7 linked regions of the Kluyveromyces lactis genome follow. The main gene of each other region encodes a partner of the protein of the gene in region 4 in a complex. Links are inferred from orthologs where the notes say so. Each region holds a gene or a part of one and is shown on either strand. Other genes may lie near its edges.

Region 1 (2,927 bases), on a different chromosome or scaffold from region 4:
GCTAAAGAACGCAAACTTGCCAACTTGGTACAGCTTTGTCATGCAGCAGACCATTTCATTGTGACAGAAGAACAACTGGTGGCCAGTGTAGAAAAGGCATTCGCCTCGGACAACCAAGATGTATTAAGAAATAAGTTGTCTTTGTCGACTTCTCAACAAACAGCAAGAAACGAAGGTGAAATTTCGGATGCATTATTTGGTACTTTGGGCAACGGCAAATACGTAGGTTTGCCAATTGTGAAGGAATTTTTATCTGGTGAGATGGAACAATTTAACCAGGAAATTAATACCAAATTGGATGAATTAACTAAACAAGCGGAAGAACGTAAAGACTCTGTCCTTTGAGATATATCTTTTAGATAATATCACTGACACAAAAGAAACCATATGAACTTAAGGTATTCTCCCCAATCTGAGCAACACATTGTAAATAGATCCATAAGATTACGAACAATATATCTTTATTAGCCTTGATAGTGCTTGTCGCCGTTATCGAAATTTCAGTGCCTTTCATTTTTCCGTTATAATATACAGGCTTATATAATTACACGACAGAGTCCGATCAATGCTTCTACACTCTAAGCATCTTTCTTTCATCCTATTATCATTTTCTGAGTAGGCATTATCAATTTGCCACAACAAGTGTTATATTATCACCTTTCAACATAATTCTCCCAAGAAACACTGCTTTATCATCGCTCTCTTTACCACTTTTCGGATCTACAGCTATTTCGAAAGCGTCATCTATTACCACATTCATGAACTCATCAAAGCCTCTGATCTTGCCTCTTATACGTGTCTGTACTTGTTCGTATAACCAAAACGTTACTGTTGTCTGATGATGAAGGTAGTTGTATATGCAATTGATTGGAGGTACCATAGGAGCTCCTACTTTAGAGCCGGACATTTTAGACTTTTTCTAGAATCTTTCGGTGTATTGAAGGTCGATGTTAGTGTAACTATAATCAGATCGCAGTTATCCTTTATTAATGTCAGTCACTAGTGCCATGTTGAATTCGTTTGATATTAGTTTAATAGGATTATTGTTAACATATTAAAAAAATTTTATATATTGAATCAACCAAAACATTTGATCTTACTTATGCACTATAAAAGGAACTCATAAAAACTGCCACAGCAGATACCGTTGAGCAAGAACGACGTGATTGATCAATATTGATGTTGTATCAAATCCCAGATATCAAGAGTGCATTGATTTGTACTCAAAGTGTTTCTGAACAGGAGAAGAAGATACAAGCTTTACAATTTTTGGAGCAATTTCAAAAGAGCATAGAAGCATGGCAAATCTGCTTCGAAGTATTAAGCAAGCATGAAGCAGACAACTTACAGTTGCAAATGTTTGCTTGTCAAACTCTAGTGAACAAAGTCACCTATGATCTAAACCAGGTCAATACCGAATTAGAGAGTTTCAAGGGAAAGCTCTTTGAGTTCATCGCTATGTATGAAGAGAAGATCATAGTAACACAGTTGAACGTGGCACTAGCCCGATTTACCATTCAGTATCTTGATTGGAGGAATCCGCTAGTTGAAATTATTAATACTCTAAATGGTCTTCCGGGAAAGTTACTACTGTTTTTGAAGATTCTCCCAGAGGAAACATTGGATATCAAATCCACTCCTCTATCCCAAGATGAATTTGAGTGTAGAACACACGAACTTATAGATAACATTGGAGAAGACGTATTGAAATTTTTGATTTCATGTTTGGATAGAGTCGGAACTGAAGGCATATCTGCTTCTAAAATCATTTCGTGCTTTGGATCGTGGTGTTATGAATTTCCAATAGAACAGGTATTACAAGTGACTCCATTGATAAACACCGTGTTCCAAGTCTTGCATACTTCATATGATACTGATTCTGATTCTTTTGAAGCTGCAGTAGAATGCTTATGTGTGTTATTAAGAGAAACGAGAGACGCAGCCAACGATACAATCATACATGCGCTTTACGAGCAACTTTTAGCTTTGCAACAAAAGCTATTGCCAATCACAACCATTTCTGACTGGGAAGAATACGAAGAGATTATGGATCCACTCACACGTTTATTCGTTGAAGCTGGCGAAGCGTGGTGTGTTTTTCTTGCAAAGAATCCTGCCTTATTCAAACCATTGGTTGAAGTCATCTTGGTATTAACTTGCAAGAACACTGACCTCGATATCGTTTCGTATACTTTCCCATTTTGGTTTAATTTGAGGCAAATGTTAGTTTTACAACGTTACGCTCAACAAAGAAAAGAATATCAGGATGTATTTATTAATTTAACGAATGGTTTGATTACACATTTGCATTATCCGGAAACTGTTTTTGAAAATAAGGAAGATGAAGATAAATTTAAAGATTTTAGGTATAACATTGGTGATGTACTTAAGTCTTGTGCTGCTGTCTTAGGTTCAACCGTTGCATTGCAGCAACCATATAATCTTATCAACCAATATCTTCAGAAAGAAGATCCTAACACGGTCTGGCAACCACTAGAGGCTGCCTTGTTTGCTGTTCGTACAATGGCTCATGAAATTTCTCATACTGAAAACGTTGTGCTACCCCAACTTTTCAAACAACTATGCATACATCCACTAACTCACCCCAAATTGGTTTATTCTACAATACTCGTATTCTCGAGATACACAGAATGGACCAGTAAACATGAGGATCTACTGGAAATCCAATTGAATTATATATTCAATGGATTTGAAGCAGGCCAATCAAATCATGATCTCTCTGTTGCTGCCTCCAATGCATTAATGTATTTCTGTCAGGACTGCTCGTCACTTCTTGTTAATTATTGTGGCCAGTTAGTGGATTTTATTTGGAAAATTGAACGCGCAGTTGACAACTACTCTATGTTTGAGATGTGTCAAGGCTTAAGTTCTGTCATAAATGAGCAGGAAACAGCGAAGATTGGTGG
Region 2 (4,034 bases), on a different chromosome or scaffold from region 4:
CTACAAATTGGAAAATACCCATTGGGAAAGTTGTATACCATATGACTTTAGATGGTACCAGGAAAGTGTTTAATATGCATCTCGAAAATGATCCATTCAAATAAGTGGGTAGAATTCCTTCCGGGAAGTTTAGAACTGTATTCTTCAATTTTGATGAAGATACCTGTGGTGCATGCAAATAGTTAGCAAACGTTACAAACGCGAGACATAGCGATGCGCTTAGAAGGAACTGCAATTCCGTTAAACCAACAGGATGTGGAAATCGGGATAAAATGGCTTTTGACAGGTTTGATGAAACAGAAGAAGTCATATACCATATAAGGCATAAAATAGATATGTGAACATTCACTTCCGGTAAATACTCTTGTACATCCTTGGGAAATAGATTGACAAATTGCTCTTTCCACGTCTGATTTTGCAGTCTTCTGACCTCATTGAACGAAGTTGAATGTTTATGAGACCTGTAATTTTCCTGGAACGGTATTTGTACCTGGTTGACAAAGTTAACATCTGAAAATGTTTTATTGATCGAAGGACGGCGCTTCGAAGTGACGCTCTTGGAAGTTACAATCATTTTTCGCTTATTTTATTCACACCTTCTTAAAATCAATAAAGCGAGTGGAACGAAGTTGAATGAGAATAATTTAGCAAACGATAGAATAGATCGAAAAGAACTGTTACTTTATGGAGCGAGCAGCGATTTTAGAGCCGACTGTCACTATGTAAGAAGTATCTCTTTCTATTACAAGTCGCCAAAAATTGATGCCATGTTATTATATTATATATTTCCAGTCTTTTTTCTTTCTTTCTGACCGATGTGATGTTTTTGCTTGCTGACGTTGTTAACGTTTTTTGGCAGTCACGTGGAAAGCCAAGCACAAAGGGTTCTCTGCAGAATGGTGCTAGCTCGTGATTGCTGTGGGCAGAGCAAGACAATTTTCTAGGAAGCGTCAATTCAAAATGCCATAGGTTTTAACTCTAATTACTTTGAATAAGTGTGATATGTAAGGTTCTATAGTCCCAAGTATGAGTCTCTTTCCAATTGTTTCTTTCTGTCCGCCATTTTCTTCCGTTGTCTTTCCAAAGTCTTCTTACTGGATTTTGTCCCATGCCATGCTTGAGAAAGTTGTTTATAGGCCTCTTTAGTTTTCAACTCATTACCCTCGGAATCCTGATATGCGAGTTCGACCGTTGGGTTGTAGTCTCTTAGTTTTTCCTCTTGTATACGTTGAATTTTCAATGCCATTTCTTCCGCTTGCGCAGCTTTAATCTTACGCAATTCGTCCTCAGAAAAGTTTACATCATTGGAGTCCAACTTTTCGTCAACAGTCTTAAGGGAATTCACAATGCCGTTTAAGATCTCAAACTCTTTCCTGACATCCGTTCCGTGTTTTTTACTGTCGCTTCCCATATTGGGGCGATCGTCTTGCTTAATTATATTTCGTTCCTTCAAGAAGTTCAACATTCCTGCCACACCTCCTGAGAAATCAGGTTGCGTGATATCGTTATCGGTGACTAATGTTGCTGGAATAGTTCCCGTTTTATCTTTTTGCACTGGTTTCAAATCGATTTTTATGGGCAAATCATCATTAACAGGTTCTCTGTCAAGAACGTTCGCCTTCAAAGAATCCAAAAATTCATCGGTTTCATCCAGAAGAATTCCTTTATCACTATTGTTCAACATATGAATTCCTTTGCTTCTTTGCTGTCCTTCGAGTTTTTCCAACTCCAATGAATTCTTTATCCCTGTTATTTCCTCATTACTGCGTTTCTGTTTGACTTTGACAACTGCCTGAATTGGCCGGTCTGAGAAATCCTCATCATCTTCCAAAAGATCAACTTTCACCATTCTCGCTGTGTCTATTCTTCTCGGTTTCTGGTTTTGATTTGATTTCTTCTTTCGCCTTTTAATCTTGACTGGTGCGTAATCTTGATATGGTTGCTCATCATCTGAGTCACTTTCAATTTTGACCCTCTTAGGGAGAGACTGGTGAACAGGTAATGGTTTATCATTTACTAAGGAGTCGTGTAATGGTATGTCAGATCTTGAGTTTGTATCATTAGCCTCATCGCTGTAATCAAAGATGGAGATTTTGTTTAGTTTTCTATCTTTATTCAATTGCCGTAGCTTAAGATTTTTGGCATCCTGTTTATCATGAACTAGCTTCTCATTCTCTAATATGTTTTCGTCATCAATATTCTCTTCGTCGTTTGTCACTGAAGTTTCTTTCAATGTAAAAATGACTGCTTTCTGTTCAGCAATAGATTTCAGTTCATCTGATACTGGGATATGGTGATGCGTAATGTCATCATGTACAGTAGCATTTTCAGCAGAAGATTCTTTGTGAGTGATAGGTTTCCCAATTTTGGAAAGCCAGTCATCAATAGATTCTTTATCAGTAGTCGCTCTTTGGTCCACTGCTTCCTTTGATTCATATATTCTTTGTTTTAGTTGACCAATCTTTTTATCACGATCTTGAGCGCTTCCATTTATTTTTCCAGAAGCACAATCCTTTTCGGAGGGACGTGAACTTAGCTGACTAGATCTTCGTACTTTCCTATTTGTATCAGATGCACCTTCTTTTGATTCTGTTGACGTCTCAGTGGGCCTAGGTATAGTCTTCAAACCTAAACTTGCCCTAATTCGATTTGTTTCTTCCAAAGATATAGAAGTAATCTTACCCATGGCTTTGAAGTAACTGTATGCCTCGTAGAATTCGTATTGTGGTCGAATATCCTTATTATCAAATCCTGTTGCTTTCTTTCTGCCTCATCTCATCGCCAACTTGTCCGAATTTAAGAATTGTATATTTCAACATTTTCATCAGTGAATATTTTGATGTAACTATCAAAGCCATTGACGATGACAATGAGAAGAAGAGTACAGCGTATGACAATAATTCAATTATTATATTTTGTTTGAATTTGATACAGACTAATTTACAGAGGTACACACATAGTATGTTCGTATGTAATGGAACAGATTTATACGAGGTTATTAGAGATTTAATGCAAAAGAGTGGGGTTTTAATGTGAATACTATATCTATTTCTTTTCCTTCTTAGATTTCTTATCCTTTTTTTCTTTCTTTTCCTTCTTTTCCTTCTTTTCCTTCTTGTCTTTCTTCTCCTTCTTAGACTTCTTAGATTCCTTAGACTCTTCATCATCGTCTCTCTTTCTCTTCTTATCCTTCTTATCCTTCTTAGATTTCTTTTCTTCCTTGGTTTCTTCCTCGTCCTCGGATTCATCATCAGAGTCAGCAGGAGCAGCAGCTGAAGACACGGTGTCAGCATCTGCGTTGTATGCTCTAGCCTCTGTGATTTCAGTCTTCTTGTGCTCACGGACGACCTTTGGTGTGGTTCTCAAGTCTCTGCCTTCTAATTGGGACAATCTTGATTCTACCTTAGCTCTGGATTCCAAACCGATGTCACCAGAATCGTCTCTATCTTCAGCCAAAGCATCGTAACGCAAAGAAACGGCAGCCTTAGCAGCCAAAACTCTGGCAATCTTACCCTTGTTCTTACCAGATGCTTGGCCAACCAAGGAAGCGTGGTACAATAGACCATATTTAGGAGTGTCATGCTTAGTTTTCAATGCTCTGAAAAGAGCCTTTTCAGCACCCAAGATTTGGATGGTGGAAGCTGGAGACTTGGCCAAAGAGATTAAAGAACCAGAGTGTGCGATCAATCTAGCACCAACCAATTCACCAACTAATTGAGTCAAATTTGGAGCAATAGCCTTCATTCTTGAAGACAAATAGTTAGAAAGTTGTTCTCTGTAGGCAGCAAATTCAACAATTTGTTCGGCTAAACACTTGATATTAATCAAATCAACTGGGGTAATTTCAGTACCCATGGAGACTTCGGCAGCGGTCTTGACTCTCTCTTCAATTTCTTCAGGCAAAATTTCAGACATGTCAGTTTCAGCAGCATTAACTCTAATACCCATGGTCAAGATTATTCTGGCGTAAGCAACAGAATCAGTAACAATCTTGGCCAATTCTGGGAAATGCCAACCGTACCATTCCTTACATC
Region 3 (2,627 bases), on a different chromosome or scaffold from region 4:
ATTTTGTCCGTGAATATAAAGGTGAGAATGTCACTGTACCATTCCAAGTATCCTTCAAAGATGCCGTCTTCGGTGTGAAGAATGTCAAATTGAATTACCAATGCTACGATCCGTGTTCGTCATGTGATGGAAGTGGGTTGAAAGCTGGACATTCGAGAAGTGTTTGTCCTACATGTCATGGTACAGGTACTCAGGTACATGTAAGAGCAGGTTTCCAAATGGCCTCTACTTGTCAAACATGTGATGGTGAGGGTTCAACTATTAAGGACAGCGATAAATGTGGTACCTGTCATAGCCACGGTTTCAAATTGAATTCAAATAAAACTATCACCGTAGACTTACCTCACGGACTTCAGGACGGTGACACAATTAGAGTACCTAACCAAGGTAGTTACCCCGGTATGGCTATCGATCCGTCCATGAAATCTGAATTGCATTTAACCAGAGGCGATTTGTTGATTCGTGTCAGAGTCAGGAAAGACACAAGATTCCAAGTTTCAAATAATTACGACATCATTTACACTCAGGAAATCCCAATTACAACGGCAGCACTAGGTGGCGTCATTGAAGTACCCACCGTAGAGGAAGAAAAGATCAGATTGAAGGTCAGCTCTGGTACTCAACACGATCAAGTCATCAGAATTCCAAATAAGGGTGTCCCTCGTGGAGCTAGAGGTGACAGGGGTGACATGCTTGTCAAGTTCAAGATTGTTATCAAAAAACCAAAGGATGAAACAGAACGTTATCTATGGGAGACCTTGGCCCACTTGACCAATGATACCACTGCAAGAAGGACCATTACTCCCTCTGGATCGTCGGCTAAGGACAACTCTTCCTCTGCTGATAAAGACACAGTTGAAAACAATGAAGGAACCATCAAGAAATTGGAAAATTTCTTGTCTAACACTTTAAAGAAGATCAGAGGGGAATGAAATCCTTAAATCGCATATATGCTCTCCCGTCATACATTCCACCTTCATTCTTTCATAATTCTTTGATTGGATGAACTAATTACGACATTGGCATTCTCATTATTCATGTACCACTTACAGCAGTCATAGCCAGTAATTGCATATACTGCACATTATTTTATAAAACCCTTTAACATCATGTAAATACCAATTTCCCTATATATATATATAATTGCACTTAGCGCATAATACTTATCGTTTTGATATTCTCTTACTAGTTATCCCTACTTACCATATTTAGCTCGGGATTGAAATTCATGCCAATGACAACGAATGTTTTCAGTAAGGGTCGATATGCTTTAGTAACTTATTCTGACCATCGTTGTCTTCTTAACATTGTGACATTGAAAATTACTTTTGAATGGAAAAAGCATAATTATGTACAAAATTCATCAATTGAAATATACTGAAGATAAATTTCGAAGGACTTTTGCCAAGAGTTAAGAGACTATATCTACGACTTATCACTTCCGTACGACCCATTATAAACCATCCAATATTCCATGACATCTCCAGATTTGAGAAAAGTATGTTTACCCCTGTTTTCCAGGAAAAATCTTATCAGAATTTAAATTACTAACTATAATATGATTCGTTGCAAACAGTACATGGACAAGAAACTCATTCTACAGCTTAACGGCAATAGGAAAATTATTGGAATATTACGAGGATATGATGCATTTTTGAACTTAGTACTGGATAATCCAATACAGATTTTCGAAGAAGGAGAGGTCCAAATGGGACCCCAGACTGTTGTTAGAGGTAACTCCATTGTATCGATAGAACCTCTTGACAGTTTGTAAGAGCAGAAGGGAGACAAATACAACTCAATGTGTCGGAACACTTTACTTAGTGACATTTACGTACAATGAATTATGCTAGTAGAAAGGAAGGATAGATATGATAGAGCGCACACTGGTTACAACATCATTTGTCGAATCTGATTTGCATTTCGACACCAGCTTTTTTCAATCCACATTTCTCATAGAATCCAACATTACTTTCATCACAATCAAGAATAACTTTATAGCATCCATACTCGTTAGCTAATTTGTATAAATACTGAATTAATATCAATCCCAATTTCTTCCCCTGTTGATCTTTTCTCACTGCAATGTCTTCAATATGACCAACAAGCCCACATTCGTGAATAACTTTTTTCTCGACTAGCACGTTTCCTGTGGCGACAACTTCCCCATTTGTGTCAACGATCACAGTGCTATTGTACATAGGTATATCTCCTATCGTGACTGAATCCCAATGGTCTATTAGTGAATGGAATTGATCTTGGCTCACATCACCAACCATCGTTAGCACTTTCAGCACAGATGTAACCCCAGAAAAATCATCTTTCTTGGTTCTTCTAATTGTGTATCCTTCTGGTAATGACATGGTAAGAATTCCAATTAACGGCAGGATGATGGTAGAAATGAATGGTAATATCAATTGTTGATGTAACAAAGAGACTATAAAGGTTCTTTTATCATGGTTCATATTTAATCATTGTGCCTATACAAAGAATAATGCTGGAATTAGAACATAAGGAACGTAGACCATCGTTAGCGCCAGTTTGTCCGGGTTACTCAATGACACGTGATCGGTATTCATCGTGGCTGGATAGTACCCATAGGCCCAAACGTACCATATACAAAAACT
Region 4 (2,951 bases):
TTAAGGCAGTCGACTCTTTGGAACAGAACAAGCCTAAAAACACGTACACATTCTCTGAATTTGACACTGTGATGAGTGGTCTAAGAAGAAGAGTTTCGATCTTTGAGCAAGATGATTTAAATTTAAGATGTGTGCAAACCGGAGTTGCAACCAAGAAACTGAAATTCCCCGAAGATGCGAAGGTTATCAAACCTTCAGAAGCTATTGAATTCTTCAGAAATAAGTCTGACGATAAATATTATGTGCTTTTAAATGATTTATATGAAAAGGAGGGGAAATCGTACATGGAAAAACTACCAACAGGTCTCTCTGTCGTCTTGATAGGTAAATATATGAAGGAGAAATGTCAAAAGGGTGACACTGTTTATCTACTTGACTTCCCAGACAATATAAAAGATGCGATCAAGTTCGAAAATGAGGTTTCCGTTATCGACAAAGTTATTGTACCAAATTCAGAAGGAGACGGCCAGGTTTCCAAATACTTTAAAACCGTGGATAAAGTTGAGACCATCTAAAATGACCCCTCATGCCATTTTCCCCATCGGCACCCTTTTGCATATATCTGGGGACTTCCTATAACAATCCATCCAACTTTATCTCGATTAAACTTTGTAAATATCATCAGTATCTAATTGCCATTCAGCAGAAGTACGTTGTGAATAGTGGGATGTAGATATGCTTCGAATAAAAACGTCAATATTTATGTTATTTCTTGGAACTTCCGAATTCTGTGAAACCCATTAACCTGCCGATTTCAGACTGTGGTTGATATTTGATTTCTGCATCAGATTTCTCACATTTGACTCTCTTTGCCGCTTTGCGTTTATTGGATCTCAATTCAGTGTCCCCGATAAATGCTGATACAGATTTATGAAACTGGGATCGTACCTCATTAAGTGGTACTAGATCATTATCCCTCGTATCTTTTATCAATGGCTCGTTGAATATGTTCTCAAACCGTACAACATGTGATTTGTGATTCAAATGGTTAATGAATTGTAGTGTGTCTTTGAAGGTTAAGTCACATATGTCACAGTAAAACCCGAACTGTTTACCTTTTTTCTGCTGACTTAGATTGGCTGATAACGTCTTTTTATTGATGTCGCGTAGATTATACTCGAGTAAAGCATTGTAGTCTGTGTATCTATCTTTTAAAGCTTTCAGTTGTTCCTGGTCTAATGATGAAAGATGAGATTGCCCTCCTGGAGAAGTTGCTGCCTTGGCAGCATACTCTTCTCTATTCCATGTTCTTCGTCCAAATGACATATTGATTTATAGTGAATAGTACTCCTTCTCAGAACTCAGTACCTGATCTCTTCCTAGGTCATGGAACTTATTATGCATGTCAACATTAAATTAGTTGATGTTTTCCATATTGGATCTTTTAAGTCATTTCATCTCAAAAGAAGGCATAAATGGAACTACAAATTAGTAAAGTACAAGAGTATTTCAAAGGAGTCAGCCATTGTCATATTAATTGTAACAGTTTGCTATCATGTCACAGTCTACTCATAAGCTTACCATTCTCCCTCATATCATAAAATGGGTTCCCAAAGATCCCGCCCCTGTAAGGAAGGTCATCTCATTTGACCTTGATCACACCGTGATCAAACCAGTTAAAGGCCGATTCAGTAGGACATCAGATGATTGGATATTCATGAAATATGGAAAAACCGAGGTACTTGCTAAACTTTCGGCACAAATGAAGGAAACACCAGATTTTCACATCGTCTTCTTCTCCAACCAAGGCGGTGTTGTTAGTGAACCTAGAACCTCTAAAAGCTGCGTAAAACACGTTGATAAAATTTGCAAAGTATTGAAATACATATCGGAAAACGATTCTCAACTGTGTGATCGTATTTGGATTTACTGTGCTACTAAAAAACCAGCTTCCCTTTTTGGTGGCAGCAAAGCCGCCAGCACTGCTCACGCAAATAAAGTTGTTAAGAACATTATTTCTGGCCAGAAGAAAAGAATAAACGGGACAATGGTAACACCTGAAATGTTTGATAATGTGAGAAAACCCAATCGTGGTTTGTTTGATGAATTTCTTAAAGATTCTGACGAACAATCGGACTCAATTGAACTTTTATTTTACTGCGGGGATGCTGCAGGAAGACCAAATGATTTTAGTGACAGTGACAAAGAGTTTGCTAAAATATTGGGCGTACCTTTCAAGGTACCGGAGGAATACTTTATTTGAATTTCGAATGATCTTAAACCTACGTAAAATATATTTATTTACTAAGTTACTTTAATGATTGAAGGATGAGCGTATTATAATGAATTTTTAATTTTAGTATAATACAGCGGCTTTTTCAAAGAGTTGTTCTACAACTCCATTGAGTTGATTGATCAATTCTAACGAAGAATCATAAGTGGCATCCTGTTGTGGTGTCTCATAAATATAAAGCCATCCGTTTCCTTGGTCAAGCACACCAAAGAAAACTTTGTCTAAAATCATTTGTGAAAGTTTGCCCTCTACTTGTTGAGCATCAAGCCCGATAATCTTTGAGATATGCGATACTTCAACACATTCGAATGGTTCGATGATCTTACTAAGATTTGATTCCAAAAGGGTGTCGTATAATGCATTGAAATGTGATCTAATGAGTTCATCGCCCATCAATTCTGTCTTATAATTTTGCATTGCTGTATTGAACTCCAGTAGGGATCTATTATTATAAGCCTCAGCGACTGCCTTCATGGCGTCAATTCCGCGACTTTGGTAGGTCTCCTTAGTATATTTGGCGTTCAAGATAGTTTTCACTTCATCAATCAAATTAAGCATGATCTTTGAAAGAAGCATATACTTTAGCACTTGACAAGCTTTTCCGAATGTGTTTGAGCCAGTTTGGCTGTGGAAGGCTTCAAAGGATTCATAAAAGTATGAGAAAGCAGTCTTATAATCTTTGTCTTCACAGTGTAAGATACCACTCATTAAATCCAAT
Region 5 (3,128 bases), about 300 kb from region 4:
GTATTGCTAGATATTTTTTTCATCAAAACATTTCTTTCAAGGTCAGAAAATGCCAAATAATGCAAAACAAAAAATGACCCACTAAGGAAAGGCTTGAACTCAGATCTCTGTGCCTCAGTGCTGTAAGATTATCGGTTAAACACAGTATTGTTGTGACTAAACCTGACATTCGACTGCAGGTTGCAAAATTCTGCTGTTTTAGAAGCGAGTATCTTAATCACGTGATATGTAAACACGTATTAGAGTAAACTGTTCACGTGTCCGGGTAATGTTTGTGTGGATCACTTTTTGTATTACCATTGATTTAACTGATGTACTTCATTTCAATACAATAAGCTTTCAAATATGCATAATTTGTACTGCAATTACGAAGCTCGGTTCACGATTGGTTTGTTTTTTTGCATTGAACGGTGATACGATTCTGAGAGGATACGAAGTGACCCTACTGTGTTGACTTGTTGTGTCGCTTGAGGTGATTATGGTTTCGTCCGAATGGCAGGTTGTATGGGCTTGTTTTGCGTCCAGATTGGCTGTTTCGTACCTGTTCCCTTCTTTGCAGCAGCAATTGGACAGAACCGTTGAGTTTTCTACTCCGGTTACAAGCTATAGATCTCTGCAAGAAGGTGCGTATCTTTTACTGCATAATTTGCCCATTTATGATGGTGGTGTTGTGCATCATGTGCCTCTGCTGGTAGCTTTAATGGCATTCGTTCAACAAGCGGAGTTTCTAATGCCCGTTTTGTTTGCGGCCATGGACACTCTAATAGCGTATCAATTGATGCAAATAGCTAAGATATATCAACGCCAATTGCAAATTCCTAGTTATATTCCAGGTGTGGTTTATGCAGTGAACCCTTTGGTACTTTTATCATGTGTCTCACAATCGACATGTCTATTTGTGAACCTTTCCATTTCTACTTCTTTACTATTTGCGTTATCTAGACAGTTCTCACTGTCAGCCATATGCATTGCGTTGGCTGGTTATTTATCACCTTACGCTTATCTACTGTTGATCCCATTGGCAGGAATCTGTGGATCAAATTCTTTCGGCCTTGTTGTCAAGTGTACATTGGTATCGATTGTTTTGCAGTTGATCAGTTTCAAGTTAAATAACGATAACTGGAACTATTTGACTTCAACATACTGGATATTGATTACTTTCAGTAAGATAAGGCCAAATCTAGGGTTGTGGTGGTATTTCTTTATTGAAATGTTCGAATTTTTCATCCCATTTTTCAAATCTGTGTTCAACATATTTGTTGTTTCATTTATCCCACCTTTCACTATTAGATTCAATCAGCAATCGTTTTACGCATTTGTTCTATGTCTAGGTTGGATTACGCTCACCAAATCATACCCAACGTTAGGTGACGGAGGGTTTTTCTTAAGTTTTATCCCATTTTTCAAACCGATCTTTGGGTATCTAAGATATCCAGTCATATCAACCCTTTTATTCATTCATGCCATCATTTTGTCACCAATCTTCTACTACCTATGGATTGGATTAGGCTCCGGTAATAGTAACTTTTTCTATGCCATTTCTTTGGTTTATGCGTTAGCCATCTCGTCAGTGATTGTGGATTTGACGTGGGCCATGTTAAGAATTGAATACGATTCAGGTAAACCAAACCTTTCATTAAAACTGACTCAAATTTGAATGAACCCTGTTCCTTCTGTTGGAAGAAACATATCGTATTGTCATTATTTAATATATATCTAAGTATGACTTACCCAGTGCATGGCATAAAAACTTTTGAAAACTGTCCGGACTACTTTGGTTTGTTTTATTTGTTCCCTTGGTAGGGCATCTAATATTTCCATGCCATATTGAAAAACATGAAAATACAGTATTGCAAAAAGATAGACAACGAAAACATTACGTAGCAACCAACAGACGTAATAAAACCTTTAACAGATTCTCGAATTATATCGTGTAATCGATACATATCAGAACACCCGCGCATTAACGTATTGAAATGGTAAGTTTTCTTGTTCCATACTTTTTTGGTCGCAGCTAGGACGATTATGTCCATCTGCGATCGATGAATCCACAGATTTTGTCACCTTACTAACCAATTTAAACGTTGCAGGATCCAGAGGAATTCAAACCAATTAACCCTAAACCCTTTTTACATCAATTGATAGACAAAGATGTGCTGGTGACACTCAAATTCAATAAAATACAATATAAAGGAAGACTTGTATCGGTAGATACATATTTCAATCTACAACTAACAGATGCGGAAGAGATCATAAATGATGTCTCAAGTGGGAAAGTTGGGGACATTTTCATCAGATGTAATAACGTGCTATACGTAGGAGAGGATGTGAACAAGCAAAGTGATCAACCCCCTACGCCGACTGGAACAACAGAGAAATCTGACGATAAAGAGGAAAATGGAGAACTCGCAGAAGAAGCGAATTAATATAGCACTAGTCTGAATATTATTGAAGCAAACAAGGAAACATCGGAATAATTATGGATTCACTGTATAGCTTTCCTCAGTTGTAATAGAATTAGGGAACTGCTTATCTTAATAAAGGGAATATTAGTATTAGTATAATTAATGATAGTATAGTTTATGTAGGTTTTACAATTCAAAGGCTCATTCTAAAAAAATCTCTAGAGATTAATACCTTATGTTTTTCATTCCAAGAAGGTCTCGTTCACGGTGTAACAGCTGTTCCAGCCACCATGGATTTCTTATTGCTTACTAGTTTTCCAGTTGAGTTGGGGTAGTGATTTCCAAAAAAAATGCAAAAATGAAACGGACAGGAATTGAACCTGCAACCCTTCGATTGCAATTTTGTTTCCATAGAAATTTCCAGGATTTAACTGGAGTCGAAAGCTCTACCATTGAGCCACCGCTTCATTCTTAAGGTTTTTATCTATAACATCTTCTATATGAAATGGAGTGGCAGCATTCCTTATTTATAATAGTCACTTTAGGCCAGAGTATATTGCTAAGGTGAACCTGGAGCATTTCAACTGAATTAGGTGTCGTCGGTACCAGTGTTTTTTAACAGAATTGAATTACGCTTCCCAGGATAATATAATTTTAGTTTCTTGTATGCAATGATCAGTATAAAATGCACATATTATTTAAGATTCGATGACGACTGCCAGC
Region 6 (3,758 bases), about 290 kb from region 4:
ACCAACTGTTTGGGATCTTGATTTCACATTGCAGCTATCACCGCTTCCATCGAGTATCATGCTGTGTGACACTAGCGCACCAGCTTTCGATGTAACGTACAACGGATGCAAAACGATCAACCCCGGTAGATTTATTCACAAAAGAGCTGCCAAATATATAGAATTCTTCCCTGCTTCTAAGGTTCTAGTAGAGGAAGAGCTACCATTTTAATTTATCAATATTAAACTACTTGTGGACCTACTTTTTGCGGTCGTTAGCATTCATAATTTATTTAAGTTTCTAAGACACTAATCTGAGTACTTGCGTTGGAAATATTTCGTCACCGTATATGGCATACAGTATACTGGATCAATATCTCTTAATCCTGGATACTTCATTATACTTAATCCTCCTAGACCAAAAACCGTGTGAAATACGTCGACTTCGTTGTCTGGTCTGTCACTAATCCCTCCATTTTTGGGATCCTGACAATGCAAAATGAACTCCGTTAGCTTGGGAAAATCAATCCAATCAGCTTTTTGGAGTATTGAAAGTGTTGATAATACCCACCAGCTATAGCATACATCGGGCAGTTTGCTTGGCCTACCATTTAAGCCCCCCTCTGGAACTTGTCTTTCTGAGAGCCAAACAGCAATATTCTCCTGCTGAGCTGGAGTTAAAGAGTCTAATTTTCCGACGATTGCTAAAGCAGCAATGCAAGTAAATGCCTGAGCAGCATGAGATTCTGCTTCAGGATTTAAGCCAAATCCGCCATCGAAATTGTAACATCTAAGGATATACGAAACTGCTGGTTCTACAACTTCTTTCGTCAATTTGTGTAAAATGGACAAACAGCTCAATGCAGTATATACGAAACGTGTGTCGACTTCACCAAAACTATCACCTTGGAATGAGCCGTCTGCTTTTTGATTGGATAGGATAAATTTTTCCAATTGTTCTTGCTTCTCTGAACCCAAGCGCTCTAAAGCGTTGTAAGTAGCCAAAATCTGAAGCCCTGAAAGAGTCGTTAATAGATGACCATCATGTCTTGGAAACGCAGCAAACCCACCAGTTTTATGATCCCAACAGCTTAGGACAAACTGTATTACATCCTCCTTATTGAATGTTTCGATAGAATCAAGGAGATAGAGGGCTGTCAATCCCCAGTATACCCCATTCAACCTTAGATGTTCTGAGAGCCAGTACTCTAGATCATCTTTCTTAGTATCTAAAGACGCAATATAATCAATGTGTTTATCTCTTAACAACTGCTGTTCACTCATGATCGTTCGATCGACGCCTAGCTTCAGACCCTTTTTACTCGATGGAGTACCTCACTTGTTTTCCAACTTTTGAACTATTCATATTCAGGAATAACGATAAAGTTCATTTTATGAATATGCTTTTAAAGAAGTGAGATGATAAAGAGATGAAATCAAAAAAGTGGCACCGGTAACAACTCACCTTTGGACTATCTGCAGTAACTTCTAATGGTAGAATTAGATGATTTGCAGGTAGATGTTGACTACAAAAACCAGGATGGGCAATCAGTCGGAGATGCTCTGAAAAGATTGGAATTCCAAAGGCAAGAAAGGCTCAAAATTGTGCCTACTCTAGATACAGACGTTAGACGAGCACTAGAGCTAGTGGGAGAGCCCGTTGATATCGCTGGCGAAGATAATTATTCTCGCAGAGATCGACTTTCTGATCTTATTCTTAGCGATCCAAAAGCCAGAGAACGAGTTACAAGGTTAGTAGAGTCAACTTCCAAAGACCAGACGAAAATCGATACTGAAAGAAGTAAAGTAGATGATGAAGACGAGGAGTTCTACACTCCAGCATCACAGCAGTTGATAGAAATGAGGAAGTTTCTTATAATATACTCTATGCAACGCTCTAAGCTGAGGCTTGAGGAGGAGAGACGAAGACTTGTCAGCCAAAATGTGAAAAACGTCATAAGTAAGCGAAGGGACCTGGAAAGTAAATTGAAACAGTTCTCTTTGAAGGGAATGCAGGTGATAGATGAGAAACCTATTTCTGAAATTAATACTTCTCCTGGTGGAGACCTGATGGCTTGTGGCAGTTGGTCCGGAAATTTGTCTCTGGTCGATAATTCGTTGTCCAAAATCTACTGCAATAGATCTTTATCTGGCACAAAGATTAGTGGATTGGATTGGAGCGTGGACTCTAAAAACATTTTTGTCTGTACCCATGATGGACGCATTGTAATATATGATAGTGGTGATGAAACCACAGTTAAGATCTTGTATAAAAATGATGCCAGGTTTGCCCAAGTACGATGCCATCCATGTAATAGTTTTATTGGAAGTACGTCTTTTGACAAAACATGGATCCTGATAGATACTGTGAAACAAGCCCCTATTTTGATTCAGGAAGGTCATTCTGCGGAGGTTTTCTCACTATCTTTTCACAATGATGGCTCATTGGTGAGTACAGCTGGTTTGGATGCAATTGCATTAATATGGGACATACGGTCCGGTAAAAATATCATGTCATTACAGGGACACTCAAAACCTATTTATTCCGTTGACTGGTCCCAAAATGGATATCAGCTTGCGTCTGGTAGTGGTGACGGGACTATAAAGGTTTGGGATATTAGGAAAAAGGGAAATGTGGAAACGATCTTAGCTCACAATAGCATTGTTTCACAAGTCAAATTCAATAAGCAAAACGGAGGATATTTAGTGTCGAGTGGATATGACAAGAAAGTAAATATCTTCAATGATGGGAACTGGATAAAGGAACGAAGCCTTGAAGGGCATCTTGATAAGGTTATGTCAATTGATATTGTAGGTCCTGATATATATAGCGCGGGTTGGGACCGCTCAGTTAACAAATGGGGAGTCTAATTAATTCTACGCAAATTTGTAAAAACGTTAATCATTATGGATGTTAAAATTACGTATCATTTCTTCGATCGGCCATTAGTCGCCTGTCTTCCTCTGCTGGGTTGAATTTTCGATAGTCTATCAGTTATATATCCAAGTTTAGAATGAAGCCCTCCAAGATTTTGCCCTTCCTGTTGTAGTTGTGATTTCAAGAGATCTATTCTCTGTTCAGCACTGGCAACCTTCTTTTTATTTTCGGCTACACTGTCCTCTATTTTCGTTTTCAAGAGCTTGATTTCTTCTCTTAATTTATCTTGTTCTTTGTTGCTTTCATCAACAGATTGAGCGGCTCTTTCTATCTCCTTTTGCATGTATGTTCTCTCAGAAGATTTAGACTCCGAATTTCGTTTTTCTCTCTCGCGGGCATCTTGCAAGTTTGAAATTTCTTCTAGTAAACCCTTCAAAACCTTATGTGGTTCGCTTTTAGACCCTAATTTTGTCATTAAATCATTAATTTCTGAATCTATGAATTCAATCTGTTTGTGCTTCTTTTCTGATTCCTCAAGGAAATCTTTTACCTTAACGTCATCATCTTTTAGCTTCTTTTCGGATTCTTCAAGCTTTTCCTTAATATCATTATAATCCTTATTGACCTTGTTGAAATGATGATTTTGAATAGATTCCATTCTTTCAAAATCATCTAATTCCAACTTTTGTCTCTGATTCATAGCGTAGATATTTTCAATGGACTGGATCATTTTATGAGTCAGGATATCAGTGGCTAAATGATAATCAATTTCGCCGTTTTGCCGGCCAGATGCTGATACCCATGTAAGAACTGCCATATCTTGTTTTAATGGATTGGTGGAATAGTCGTTTTTAACTCTTTTAGATTTATAATACAATAAGGAAGACCTTTCTTTCGAATG
Region 7 (2,848 bases), about 1.9 Mb from region 4:
CCACATGCCATTCTCTATCATAGGTGACTTCAAAAACAACGATCTTACCATTTCTAGATGGATCAATATATTGTAGAGCAGAAATACCTGCCAGAGCAATATAATACGACTTCCACAAGGCAGATAACTTGAAAGGAATAGAAGCTGACATCTCTTCAAGTGCAAATAAGACACCTCCAATAGGTGCACCAAAAGCTACTGCAACACCACCTGCCGTCGAAGCTGTCAAGTATTCGGATTGTTCTGGGAAGGCCATCTCCTTGCTCAAGAGCCAATTAGTAATTACATAACCACAACAGGTAGCATAGTGAACAGATGGTCCCTCTTTACCAACACTTAAATCAGAAGAAATGGCAAGCGGTAAAGCGACAGATTTTACTATAAGGGTCTTCAAATTCAAAAACTCCGGGGTATATTGGAAACCTGATACCCAGGATTTAATTTCTGAAATACCAGATCCAGTGGCAAACGGTGCAATGTGTAGGACCATCAGACAACTAATAGTTGCAAATGTGACCGATAAGAACATGAATAGCAAAAATGAAAAGATTGGATTGGTTGCTTCTACCCAAATACCTTTTTCGATACATTCGCTTTGGGATCTTTTAAAGAATATTTCTGCGGCATTGCCAGCCGAACTTATTATGGAACCATAACTCCTTTTACTGATCTCTTCTTTAGGACAGCAGAATGCCTTGTTTAACAACCAATTTCTAGCACAATGTCCAGATTTCCAGTTTACTAACAATTCAGTGAATATTTGTAAAAAACCAGCAATACCGCCAATGGAAAGCCCAATGGCAGTCAAAGTAATGAAACTGCTACCTCTTTTCCATATTAACCTGCGGTACTCATACCAACTCGAACGCGGTATATCAAATTCGTCATGCGATGTTCCCTTGGACAATTCACGCTTCTCTTCCTCAATCCAATCCACAGAAGTGAACTTATCGAAATTACCGACTTCTGGTATATTTCGCAGAGCCTGCTCCTCATTTACCTCTTGGTCAGTCATAGCTAGCTATTGCTCATCAATTGGGTCATACCTAAGTCAAGGGCAATACTATGAGTTTATTCATAAATGAGTTGATAAATTTACATATTGTAATACGTACATTTTTCAATACAAAGAAATATGCACCTTTGAAATTAGGTAAAGAACTGAGAGTGAAAGCAGCTCTTCCTGGGGAAGTATGAAGCATACGATGGGGAACAACAACTACAGACTGCGTGTTTTAGACCATAATAGAGTACTATAGCAATGGCGGAGAATGGCCAAATGATCACAATAGGAGGAATGTATATCGTTCTTCTGAATTAATATAGTGAAACAGCCGTACATTACACCAGTTTGTGATCCCATTTGTTTCTTTTTGCTCATCAGTCGAGGAATTCGAAAATTTTCAAAAATTGAAAAACTAAAGAAAATGATTTCAAGAGACTAACCTCATCTCATCTCGTTCCATCTCATCTCACTTTATGATAAAACTTTTTTTAGACTTGGACTTGATCCGATCTTATTTCTAGTCTTAAAACACCAGATTCAAGCGAGCTTTTCATTCTTGCAAGGAACTTGAACTGACCCAATCGGATACTTCACTTCATATTATAAAGAAATAATGTCTGCTCCAAACCCAAAGGCTTTCCCATTGGCTGATGCCACCTTGTCCCAACAAATCTTGGATGTTGTTCAACAAGCTTCCAACATGAGACAATTGAAGAAGGGTGCTAACGAAGCTACCAAGACTTTGAACCGTGGTATTTCCGAATTCATTATCATGGCTGCTGACTGTGAACCTATTGAAATCTTGTTGCACTTGCCATTGTTGTGTGAAGATAAGAACGTTCCATACGTCTTTGTTCCATCCAGAACTGCTTTGGGTAGAGCTTGTGGTGTTTCCAGACCAGTTATTGCTGCTTCTATTACCACTAACGATGCTTCTGCTATCAAAAGCCAAATCTATGCCGTTAAGGACAAGATTGAAACTTTGTTGATTTAAGAAGGATTTGCACATTTCGTGATTTCCTTTTCTTATTCTTTATATCAATCGTTTAAGGAGTTAACCGCTTTGTGGGGGGTTTGCATAGCAAAGAAAAGATTTACTGCACGTTCATTGATTCAAGTGATCGACAGGTAGATTTTTTTTTTACGACCTCTGTATATTAAACATATATATTACAATTAATACAACTTTTTGATACATTTGCATCCTTCTTAACAATGACATCAACATCTGATGGTTCTAGTTAGTGGTCAGTACATAGTTTTTTTTTGTCTGTTCAAATTAAGAAATGGTTACAGGCCTGTGTATTCCAGATGATATTGTCAGTTGGTAAAAAAAAGTAATAAATTTGACACAATCTTTTGTGCTTTCGACTATCCAACCCTAAATTTACAAGTTTGTTGAAATGAACTTAGAGGAAGAAGTCTGACTGTCCATCAGTAGCTGCTCGAATATGTTCAAGTTTAACCCATTACACATTGTTGGTAGGGAAAAGATAAAAATCCGCTATCAAAGTTCGGATAGGTTGGATTGTGAAGACCCGCCAAAATTTAGGGAAACTCGATGTAGATGTTGCGGAACCTTGTTACGACATCCTATAGACGCAGTTAAGTTCAAATGTACAATATGTGAGGTGACTGTTGTTTTGAGACAAACAGCAAATTCTAGGGATACTGAGGGCAAGATACTGCCGGACCTTGAACAGTTATCCAATATAGTTGGTCAATGTCTCGAATCGTATAAGAAAGATCAGACAGGAGATGAGACCCCCGCTAAAGAGCTTAACAGCTACTTCATTCCTGTGGAAAAATACATTGTTCAAAAATTCGGTACAGCGGAAGCTT

The links.
Region 1: SNU23 (region 4) and SME1 share a complex: the UniProt entries of both Saccharomyces cerevisiae proteins name them as parts of the U4/U6-U5 tri-snRNP complex. The link is inferred for Kluyveromyces lactis from reciprocal best matches to the Saccharomyces cerevisiae genes SNU23 and SME1.
Region 2: SNU23 (region 4) and SNU66 share a complex: the UniProt entries of both Saccharomyces cerevisiae proteins name them as parts of the U4/U6-U5 tri-snRNP complex. The link is inferred for Kluyveromyces lactis from reciprocal best matches to the Saccharomyces cerevisiae genes SNU23 and SNU66.
Region 3: SNU23 (region 4) and SMX2 share a complex: the UniProt entries of both Saccharomyces cerevisiae proteins name them as parts of the U4/U6-U5 tri-snRNP complex. The link is inferred for Kluyveromyces lactis from reciprocal best matches to the Saccharomyces cerevisiae genes SNU23 and SMX2.
Region 5: SNU23 (region 4) and SMX3 share a complex: the UniProt entries of both Saccharomyces cerevisiae proteins name them as parts of the U4/U6-U5 tri-snRNP complex. The link is inferred for Kluyveromyces lactis from reciprocal best matches to the Saccharomyces cerevisiae genes SNU23 and SMX3.
Region 6: SNU23 (region 4) and PRP4 share a complex: the UniProt entries of both Saccharomyces cerevisiae proteins name them as parts of the U4/U6-U5 tri-snRNP complex. The link is inferred for Kluyveromyces lactis from reciprocal best matches to the Saccharomyces cerevisiae genes SNU23 and PRP4.
Region 7: SNU23 (region 4) and SNU13 share a complex: the UniProt entries of both Saccharomyces cerevisiae proteins name them as parts of the U4/U6-U5 tri-snRNP complex. The link is inferred for Kluyveromyces lactis from reciprocal best matches to the Saccharomyces cerevisiae genes SNU23 and SNU13.

What each region holds. Positions count from the first base shown.
Region 1 is NC_006037.1:204,388-207,314, forward strand, and holds SME1 (mRNA splicing protein SME1), read right to left. Parts: upstream 908-2,927; coding exon 626-907; downstream 1-625. Other genes in the region: mitochondrial 37S ribosomal protein PET123, read left to right, coding at 1-345; mRNA transport regulator MTR10, read left to right, coding at 1,180-2,927. UniProt on the Saccharomyces cerevisiae protein: Involved in pre-mRNA splicing. Binds and is required for the stability of snRNA U1, U2, U4 and U5 which contain a highly conserved structural motif called the Sm binding site. Involved in cap modification.
Region 2 is NC_006042.1:798,578-802,611, forward strand, and holds SNU66 (U4/U6-U5 snRNP complex subunit SNU66), read right to left. Parts: upstream 2,687-4,034; coding exon 1,013-2,686; downstream 1-1,012. Other genes in the region: SLY41 (Sly41p), read right to left, coding at 1-574; RNA-processing protein NOP58, read right to left, coding at 3,046-4,034. UniProt on the Saccharomyces cerevisiae protein: Component of the U4/U6.U5 tri-snRNP particle, one of the building blocks of the spliceosome. Required for pre-mRNA splicing.
Region 3 is NC_006040.1:658,663-661,289, forward strand, and holds SMX2 (mRNA splicing protein SMX2), read left to right. Parts: upstream 1-1,474; coding exon 1,475-1,498; intron 1,499-1,576; coding exon 1,577-1,774; downstream 1,775-2,627. Other genes in the region: MDJ1 (Mdj1p), read left to right, coding at 1-932; GNA1 (glucosamine 6-phosphate N-acetyltransferase), read right to left, coding at 1,899-2,465; EMA19 (Ema19p), read right to left, coding at 2,481-2,627. UniProt on the Saccharomyces cerevisiae protein: Plays a role in pre-mRNA splicing as a core component of the spliceosomal U1, U2, U4 and U5 small nuclear ribonucleoproteins (snRNPs), the building blocks of the spliceosome.
Region 4 is NC_006041.1:138,820-141,770, reverse strand, and holds SNU23 (U4/U6-U5 snRNP complex subunit SNU23), read right to left. Parts: upstream 1,267-2,951; coding exon 706-1,266; downstream 1-705. Other genes in the region: AIM36 (Aim36p), read left to right, coding at 1-515; TPP1 (polynucleotide 3'-phosphatase), read left to right, coding at 1,496-2,203; proteasome regulatory particle lid subunit RPN6, read right to left, coding at 2,297-2,951. UniProt on the Saccharomyces cerevisiae protein: Participates in pre-mRNA splicing. Part of the U4/U5/U6 tri-snRNP complex, one of the building blocks of the spliceosome.
Region 5 is NC_006041.1:435,743-438,870, forward strand, and holds SMX3 (mRNA splicing protein SMX3), read left to right. Parts: upstream 1-1,976; coding exon 1,977-1,979; intron 1,980-2,090; coding exon 2,091-2,426; downstream 2,427-3,128. Other genes in the region: GPI-anchor transamidase subunit GAB1, read left to right, coding at 479-1,657. UniProt on the Saccharomyces cerevisiae protein: Plays a role in pre-mRNA splicing as a core component of the spliceosomal U1, U2, U4 and U5 small nuclear ribonucleoproteins (snRNPs), the building blocks of the spliceosome.
Region 6 is NC_006041.1:426,808-430,565, forward strand, and holds PRP4 (U4/U6-U5 snRNP complex subunit PRP4), read left to right. Parts: upstream 1-1,470; coding exon 1,471-2,850; downstream 2,851-3,758. Other genes in the region: DPB2 (DNA polymerase epsilon noncatalytic subunit), read left to right, coding at 1-211; Rab geranylgeranyltransferase BET2, read right to left, coding at 289-1,263; HDA3 (Hda3p), read right to left, coding at 2,907-3,758. UniProt on the Saccharomyces cerevisiae protein: Involved in RNA splicing. Is required for the association of U4/U6 snRNP with U5 snRNP in an early step of spliceosome assembly.
Region 7 is NC_006041.1:2,008,543-2,011,390, forward strand, and holds SNU13 (RNA binding protein SNU13), read left to right. Parts: upstream 1-1,619; coding exon 1,620-2,000; downstream 2,001-2,848. Other genes in the region: GEF1 (Gef1p), read right to left, coding at 1-1,015; putative E3 ubiquitin-protein ligase HUL4, read left to right, coding at 2,458-2,848. UniProt on the Saccharomyces cerevisiae protein: Common component of the spliceosome and rRNA processing machinery. In association with the spliceosomal U4/U6.U5 tri-snRNP particle, required for splicing of pre-mRNA.